Nothobranchius furzeri: one gene and its partner. The protein of the gene in region 2 interacts with the protein of the main gene of each other region in a pairwise test. Links are inferred from orthologs where the notes say so. Each region holds a gene or a part of one and is shown on either strand. Other genes may lie near its edges.

Region 1 (3,815 bases), on a different chromosome or scaffold from region 2:
GCGATGCGTGAAGAGAAACCGACAGGTGGAGAAACCTGAGGGACGAATTTAAGCCTTAAATCACCTTTTTCTTCCATCGCTTCCCCGCCGGTTAGTTTACCGGAAACGTGTTTGAGTAAACGTCCAACAACGAAACCCTAAATATTTATAGGTTAATTTAGCGTTCGACACGTGGAATTAAAAGCTAACTTGGTGGCTTCATCACGTGAGTTCACGTTTATCGTGTTTTTTACCTGTTAGGGTTGCTCGGACTGCTGTCAAGCGGGGCGCCGCCATGTTTGTCGAATAACACAAAAACAGACATGCGCAATACCTCTTCATCCAGTCAGCCTGCTGCCCCCGGTGGACAGTGCTGGTATTACGTTATTTACCCAAAAACAGGATCAAAACCACGTGTTTACATTAACATTTTATTGAGTAAACAAGCGTACACTTCCTGTCACCATATTACAAAACCAGCAACAAGTGGAAACCATCTTATTAGAAAGTCATCACACAGTCCAGAGGTTCTACTGACTCATAACAGTCAGTGGAGCAAACTACACAAAGCAGCGTATTTACATCTCATCTTTTAGGAGCCTCCATAGTTCATCTTTGTACAGCAGGGGCCACCTCCAAAAGATGGTCTAACAGCATCTCCAAAGTCATGCGATCTTCAGCAGAACACCATGAACATCCAGAGCAGATGGTTTAATCCTCCAGGATGTAGTTGGGATTAACGACCAGAACAACGTCTTCCTCTGTGCTCTCAGCCTCAGAGCCCTTTAGTCCAGCCTGAGACAGCTCAATGAGGATGTGATCCTACAAAGACACAAACGTTGGTGTGAGCGGATTAAACTTTAATCGAACATTGATAGAAATATCCACCGAGCGCAGACTCACGTAGTGGACCAGCCTCTGGATGACCTTCTCTATCAGAGCCTTCTTATTGATCAGCTCTTCCTCAGAGTCGATATCTGACTCGATCTCCTTCAGATACCAGTTTATCACTGCATTTTTCCTCAGCTCCTCCTCTTGATCGGCTGAAAAGGAGAAAAGTCCAGTTTAGCTGCAGCTTTAGACAAAAGGGAGTAGGAGGACCGCCTCTTACCGTCCTCTGTTCTGCGCAGATGCAGCACCAACAGGTTGGAGATGCGTTTGTACTCGGCAAAAGACAAACGCAGAGAAGGTTTGGGTTGGCTGTCATGCTCCGCGTGACCATTCACGCCACTGGCATGACCATTAATCCCATTAACATGATCGTCGACACCATTTGGTACATTGTTGACTGCAGATGGAAAACTGTTCAGTGAAGATCTACAGATCATCAGCAGCAGGGTGTGCATACAGATAACTCCTCATACCTTCCTCCTGCTGCTCCTCGTCCTCAAATTCATCCTCCTGATCCAGGTTGATGTCGGGCGTCTCCACTCGGATGATGGACTTGTTTAGGAGACGGAAAGCTTCCTTCACGTGTTTGGGCTGCACCTGGAGACGAGGAAACCATCATTGGTGCTTTTCATATTCATCTTTTTTCCAGATCATGTCCACACCAGTCATCTGCTGTGTCTTGACGCCGCTTCCTGTCATTTGACACTTTCTGTAAACATGAGCCAAACTGCTCTGTCCTGGTCCAGTCAGCTCCTCCGTCTACGTCGTACCTCATCACAGCAGTGCATGCGTGCCATGGCCTCAGACAGGCGGATCATGCTCTCCAGCTGCCGCACCGTAATCCTCCAGGCGGATTTGGACACGCTCCCAGAGCCGTCGCGCTGACGCAGACGCTTGTACTGCTCGACAATGAACTCCTCAGACTCACCGGAGATCTGCCATGGCATCATACACAGACACACACACACACACAGACACACACACACACACACACACACACACACACACACACACACACTGCAGCTTTTACACTCAGTCAGTCCAAAACAGTCACCTGATAAATGTAAGGCCATTTAAAATCAACACCAAGTGGTTTTTAACATTTTAAGCTATTGCTTTTAAACTGGTTTTAGTGGTTCTTAAGCATCTTCATATTGGACAGCACCCAGTAGCCCTCTGCTGACCAGAAACTCTACCAGGGGCAGCGTTAGGCCCGGCTACTTGGGCTGAAGCCCCGGATGTTTCATGAAAAGCCCCGGATCTAAATTGCAGAAGTAACATGCAGTACCAAAGTCCAACAGAGAGGGAGCAGCTGGCAGTAGTTTGTATACAGCCTGCCTGAGCCTCCACCACTGAAGAAGAAGCCCTTCAGCAACCGGCTTCTTCTACACTCTCTGCCTGAAACGCATGAGTGAAGATGGACATAAGGACGTTTTTTAGACCAAAAGTACGGCGACAGAACCCCAGCTTTGATGAGACTGGTGTTGACTCAGGTTTGTGAGTCTTATTAGAAAGTACTTGTTGTGCTGCTGGTTTGCCTAAAGTTAGCTTATCAGGTAAAGTTGTTGGAGAAAGAACGGGAATATTTACTATCATCTCACACTAAACACTAACAGGAACAATACTCTGCCCTGAAAATGCTTAATATGTAGCTTCAGATTAAAAATTATGTGGTACAAGACATATATGATGTTGACTAATGCGTGTCATGTGTGTGTGTGCGCGTGTGTGTGTGTGTGCGTGTTAAGCCCCGGATCTTCTTCGGTCCTTAATCCGCCCCTGAACTCTACTAAACCGTTTTGTGGTTCAGGTAGGAACACTAGAGGGAGGTTTCTACCTGGTTTATGGCAAAAGCGGTTTACTGTACTGGTAGCCAATATAAAAGCTAGCAGTTAGTTGTTTTTTTTTTGTTGGCATCATGGCGTAGCCTGGAAATAAAAGTGAGAGGATTGTTTTTAGAGGCGGAGCAAAGCGCTAAAACCAGAGTGAAAATGGGTGTGGCCTACATGACATCACAGACTGATGGTGGACTTGAAAGGAATATATTTTTTGACCATATGTGTGGACTTTTTCCCCCGTGACTCGCGTAGTATCGGCTTGCGTTAGCTGCAGTGGGGTTTAGGAGGGTGCTGCTTGAAACCTAGATACTTTTATTGTAGCAGCTTTATTCTGGAGTACTTCCTGTTTTTATTTAAAACACACACCTTGGGTTTAAACTGCCGAGCAAAAAGCAGGTATCTGCGGATTTCATCTAAGGAGTACAGTCTGTCCACGGACTCCTCCACCCGGGAGTGCAGGTCCACGATTCTCCTGGCGATGGCGTAATCTGTGACCTGAGATACACACGGGTAGATAAATGATCACCTCCATCAGATCCTTGGTTACTACAGCATGGAAAAATCACACACACACACATTTTCCCTCCGTGTTGTGTGTTTCCGTACCTCATTACACTCATCCACCAGGATGAAGAAGAGGTCGAAGCGGCTCATGATGGGGGCGGTCAGGTTGACGTTCTGCTTCAGGCTCTTGCTGCGGTCGTAGCGCCCGTTGACGGGGTTGGCAGCAGCCAGGATGGACGTGCGTGCGTTCAGAGTAGCCTGAACAAACAGAGGAGATTATTTTCCAGAGGTAAAAACTTGAACAGGTGAGGTGTTCCGGGCTCAGCTGGACGGTGCTACCTTGACTCCAGCCTTGGTGATGCTGATGGTCTGCTGCTCCATGGCTTCATGGATGGCCACCTGGTCCTTTATGTCCATCTTATCAAACTCATCAATGCAACAAACTCCCTGAACGCAAACAACATTTTAGACACATTAAGAGCAGAGACAGATTTATTTCTTTATTTTTTTACTCACGTTGTCCGCGAGCATCAGCGCTCCAGCCTCGATGACAAACTCGTGCGACTCCTCATCGCGGACCACAGCCGCCGTCAGACCTGCAGC
Region 2 (4,593 bases):
CCTAGTTTTTAGTTTTCATTTATGTATTTTACTGTTACAATTAGGCCAATAAAGTCTAAGAAGGTGTGACAGGATGTTTTTCTGATTCATCTGCGTCACAAACCAACTGTACTAGAGGGGAGTGGATGACTATAATCAGAGGTTACCTTTGTTGAAAGACAGGAGATGGTTTTGACCACTGAGTTGAAACTTCAGCTCTTTGATGACTTTTTGTGATCCACGTAATGCTGACCGAGAACAAACCACGACTAAAGGAGCCTTGAAACCTAAGCCATTCTTGCATACATGTATTTTCTAGTAAAAATACTAAAATGCACTCCACTGTGATATGGCTGATGACCCAGATGACACCAAAGGACCTGGACTAATGCTTGTTTCATAGGTCTACATGTGTAGAAGTTCTAACCTGCATTTGGGGCGGGCCAATAGCAGTCTCTTGACTACTTTTGCAATGTGATGCAAAGGACAAGTAAGGTGGTTGTCATCCACATCATTTCTCCTAGGTCAGGCTAAGGCTGAAGAGAGGCTGCAGAATTCCACATAGCTGCTCTGCACAGGCCTGAAGGACTCTGGGGATGACATCTGGACCTGGAGCTAGGTTTTATCTCTCCTGTGGCATCTTCATATGACTACTGGAGCCAGACAGGTGGGAGGGGCGAGGTTAGGGGAGCAACAGCATCTACTGATGTAATTTATGACAAGGATGAATTTGCAGCTGCAGGATCCATGATTCAGACAAGGAATACATGAATGAGGTGTGAGAGAGAAGCTGTGGGTCAGCAGAAGGTGGGCTGGGGACAGGTTGGGCGGATGCTGAACTGAATTGTTTGAACAACATGTTCATTGACTTTGTCTAGACCTCCAGCTGTCTCCCGTTCTCTGCTTAAAGCCAGTGATGTTCTTCATCCCCAACTACATAATTTATTTTTCTTGCTGGAGCTTGATCTCCAGTGTTTTTCTGTAGGTCCCCTTGTTTCATATTTTGGTATCAGCTAGTACTCTCATTCAGACAAACCCAACAACACGGTTTATAACTTTTCTTTACTGTTTATATTCTGGTGCTAAATTATCAAGGAGATCTTCGTGTGAAGATTAGAAGCCATCACTGAGCTAAAGACCACCTTCTCTTCGGCTTAGTGTTGACAGAAATTTATGCCGAGACTTCCAAACACAACTCTTGACAAATAATGAGCTACTTGGGAATAAAAGTAAGTTCTTCATTTAAAAAATATTGAAGACAAGCTGTTATAAATATGATATATTTCTTTGATATGGTACTCTGACGAGATATGCCGTTCATCATTCTTTTATTTATTCAATTTAAAGCTTCGCTCAACAGTTGTCTGTTGCCCACAATGTCTGTTTTACATCTATTGTCCACTTGATGGTGCAGCTGCGCAGTAAAACAAATGAAGCACCTAACGACGTGAAAAAACCTGATCAGTCCTTACGTTTTCTTATCCCAGTAAAAGTAATTTATCGATTTTTTACTATATTAAATGAAACAAACGTTAAGTTTACGAACGGGTAAAAACAAATTTCTGAAGGTTTTCCAAATCTTCAATGATTTATTGCGTTTGACTTAAGTTTTTTTAACCAGGCAAATATTTGGGCACCTATGACCACTTAGACACAACATGGTCCTTCGTTTAGCGCCACTTTGGATTAGTCTTTTAGTGTAAAAGGACACTTTACAGCATAACTAGTTGTCGTATTAAATAAAACTCGGTGGTTTGAATAAAATGTTCATTAGCAAAATATAAGACTTATATAGAAAGTTACGCAAGCCCTTTAATATTAGCTGCGGACTAGCTAGAAGGCAGAAAGCTGAGCTTCTGTAGGGGTAAGTCGTCATTTTATCTGTCTGTAAGGCGAGTTACTTTGGTTATGTTTATCGGTTTTATTTCTCGCATAAGAAATTGACATTTTAAACACAATGACAGCACGTCATATTTAACTAGTAGCATCCAGTCTTTCTCTGTTCAGCCCTTCACCGGGTTAAGAATGCACTCAAATAAAGACCTCGAGGAAGTGAGTAAAAACAAACACCACAAATAAAGTTTTTCAAACCAGTTTAATGACTGACGTGAATCTTCATTTCTCAGTTTCATCCCATCTAGTCTGCCTAAAACCACAGACCGGCATAAGTTCTGATTTTACGGTGGTTTAGGGAGTTAATAATAAGATAATAATAATGACAGCACACAAAACGAAAATTTATGAGTTAAATCAAATTACGTTCTCAAATGAAAGCGACAGAATAGTTGAGTGAATATTACAATAACCCCTGTAAAAGTGGGTTATTAATTGTGCCAGTGGTGCTGCAGACCAATGAAGTCTCTGAAGTCCAGCTAACAGCAGAAGGTGTAAAAACAATGACACATTTTGTCTTCTAAATATTAGTTTAGAACAGGAGAAGAGCTCAAACTGCAATTTGTGGTGTTTGTTTGTATCAGACAGAAGAAAGCTTTAGAGATATCTGTCATCATTTCTCTGCTCTCACCTTTGCAAAGATTTTGTAATAAATTCTTGTTAAATCTTTTAAACACACTTTTGGTAAAAATATCTTTTTTTTTGTTCAAAATACTGAGAATGATTAGTTGTGTTGTTTATATTCGTCCCTTCATTTCATTAAAATACAGTAAAAATTATCTTTCAGGGTTATTTGCTTGGCTCGTCTTAAATCAGCACTGAAATGGACTGTAAGTAGTGAATTTAAAGCACAGGACTGTTGGGTTTCAGAGCAAATGGTCACTTTATAAGTTTTCCTACTCAGGTGAGGATGATCTTGACATTCTGACGGCCCTATTGGATGAGGGCGATGATGTTGGTGAAGCTCAACATGGCCAGGAACAGGTGGACGACTGGGATTGCCTGTTTGGTGCGGACGGTGATGAGGAGGAAGAATACAAGGAGGGTAGTGAAGAAGAAGCGGTGGCCAAAGAGGATGTAGTGTTGGAGCTGTTTGGAGATGTTGAAGACATTGAAAAGGAGGAGAAAAACATAAAAGGAAAAGGAGGTGCCAATGAGAACCCGAACCAGTCCAAAGAGGATTTACAAGGTTTGATCTGAAGTTGCTACTACTTAAATCTGCATTTGGTTCATCCACAGTGGAATTTTTCTAAGTTTTTGTGGTTTTGTTTCTGTATCGTTTCATCTCGTTCAGAGGAGTTGAGGAAAATGCAGAAGCAGATGCAGAAACTTCAGCAGCAACTGGAGGCAAGCCACAAAGTTCCAGCCGCTAAAACCACTACAGCAGCAAGTCCTAAATCAGAGGTCCTAAAGCCATCCCTGACCCAGCAACCAGAACCCAGACGGGTCAGAGCCAAAGCAATTCCAACACTGATGCAGTCAGGTAAACATTTTGCTGCTCAACAATCATGCATATTTTTCAAGTTAAGCTTTTTTTTTTAATCATAAATTCCTAAATTCACCAAAATCCTTATTTTTCTGGTTCTGTTTCACCATATTTTTTTTACCAGCATCAACATCTTCATCCACTCCAGTCAGAGCAGGAAGCTCAAATCTCCAAGAATCCACAGATTTTTTATCTCAGCTCAACAACGGAGATTTGTTTAAACGAAAACCTCGAGTGGCTCACAAACTCAAAGCATCCTCACCTGGTACTTCTACCCTTCCATCGTTTAGCCATTCACCTTCAGATTATTCAGGTCTCACCAGCTGATCTGTCAGTCAATGCTGCAGGTTTCATCTACAAAAGCTTTTTCTTCAATGTTTTTAGAGGACAGAAAACCACTGGTGGAGGTAAAGCTTGGCAGCTCCTTCCAGGCATTAGAAAGCAGCAGCCAGGCCCTGGAGCGTCTCCTCTCTCCTCCTTCTTCCCACAGCACACATGCACCAACTGCATCAGCAGGACCTTCTAAACCTGCTGCTCCTCTTCCTCTACCCAAAGATTTAAATATTGAGAAGTACTCAGGCCTACGGATCAGGTCAGAGCACTAACGTAAGAGGAACCTTTGTTCTGTTAGTGATTCATACAACATCTGTGGGTTTCTTGTTGGTTTTCAGAAGGCCACGTGTTTCCTCGAGTGAGATGGACCGCAAGATGGCTGACCGCCGCCTGATTCGCCTTTCGCAGGTGCCAGAGTGCTTAAAAAGGGAGAAGCTGGAGGATAGCGACTGGGTGACGTTTGCAGTTCTGGTCAACAAAGCCACGCCTCAGAGCAACAGCAGTGTAAGTGGGTGATCAGATGTCTGGCAAAGTTCTGTTTTACAGAGCGGGCTGTACAGATGACCCTGAATTAGGGTCGCTCCATAGAAAAGACCACAGTGTGATAAATATAGACCATCAGGAAAATGCATGGGCTTTTTTAATGGAGAGAAAAATCTTAAAGAAATGTTTTTGTCAGTGAAAAACTGGTGGAGGAGATTTTGTTTATGTTTATTCATTTAGCAGACGCTTTTATCCAAAGCGACTTACAATTTATAACCTATAGGGCATGTTGTGATCTGTGGGGGAAACCGGAGTACCCGGAGGAAACCCATGCATGCATGGGGAGAACACGCAACTCCACGCAGAAAGGCCACAGCCGAGTTTCGAACCTGCAACCTTTGTGCTGCGAGGCAACAGAG

What was found.
Region 1: the proteins of mcm10 (region 2) and mcm6 interact in binary tests that used the Homo sapiens proteins (3 or more experiments, as listed by UniProt). The two-hybrid records come from large-scale screens. The link is inferred for Nothobranchius furzeri from reciprocal best matches to the Homo sapiens genes MCM10 and MCM6.

The regions. Positions count from the first base shown.
Region 1 is NC_091751.1:64,049,252-64,053,066, reverse strand, and holds the end of mcm6 (DNA replication licensing factor MCM6), read right to left. Parts: coding exon 3,729-3,815; intron 3,660-3,728; coding exon 3,552-3,659; intron 3,471-3,551; coding exon 3,315-3,470; intron 3,204-3,314; coding exon 3,075-3,203; intron 1,806-3,074; coding exon 1,641-1,805; intron 1,468-1,640; coding exon 1,344-1,467; intron 1,268-1,343; coding exon 1,091-1,267; intron 1,023-1,090; coding exon 883-1,022; intron 802-882; coding exon 691-801; 3' UTR 397-690; downstream 1-396. Other genes in the region: uncharacterized protein si:ch73-71c20.5, read right to left, coding at 1-35, 234-321. UniProt on the Homo sapiens protein: Acts as a component of the MCM2-7 complex (MCM complex) which is the replicative helicase essential for 'once per cell cycle' DNA replication initiation and elongation in eukaryotic cells.
Region 2 is NC_091741.1:61,269,178-61,273,770, forward strand, and holds the start of mcm10 (protein MCM10 homolog), read left to right. Parts: upstream 1-1,703; 5' UTR 1,704-1,843; intron 1,844-2,659; 5' UTR 2,660-2,695; coding exon 2,696-2,702; intron 2,703-2,776; coding exon 2,777-3,061; intron 3,062-3,166; coding exon 3,167-3,355; intron 3,356-3,482; coding exon 3,483-3,623; intron 3,624-3,742; coding exon 3,743-3,950; intron 3,951-4,029; coding exon 4,030-4,195; intron 4,196-4,593. UniProt on the Homo sapiens protein: Acts as a replication initiation factor that brings together the MCM2-7 helicase and the DNA polymerase alpha/primase complex in order to initiate DNA replication. Additionally, plays a role in preventing DNA damage during replication.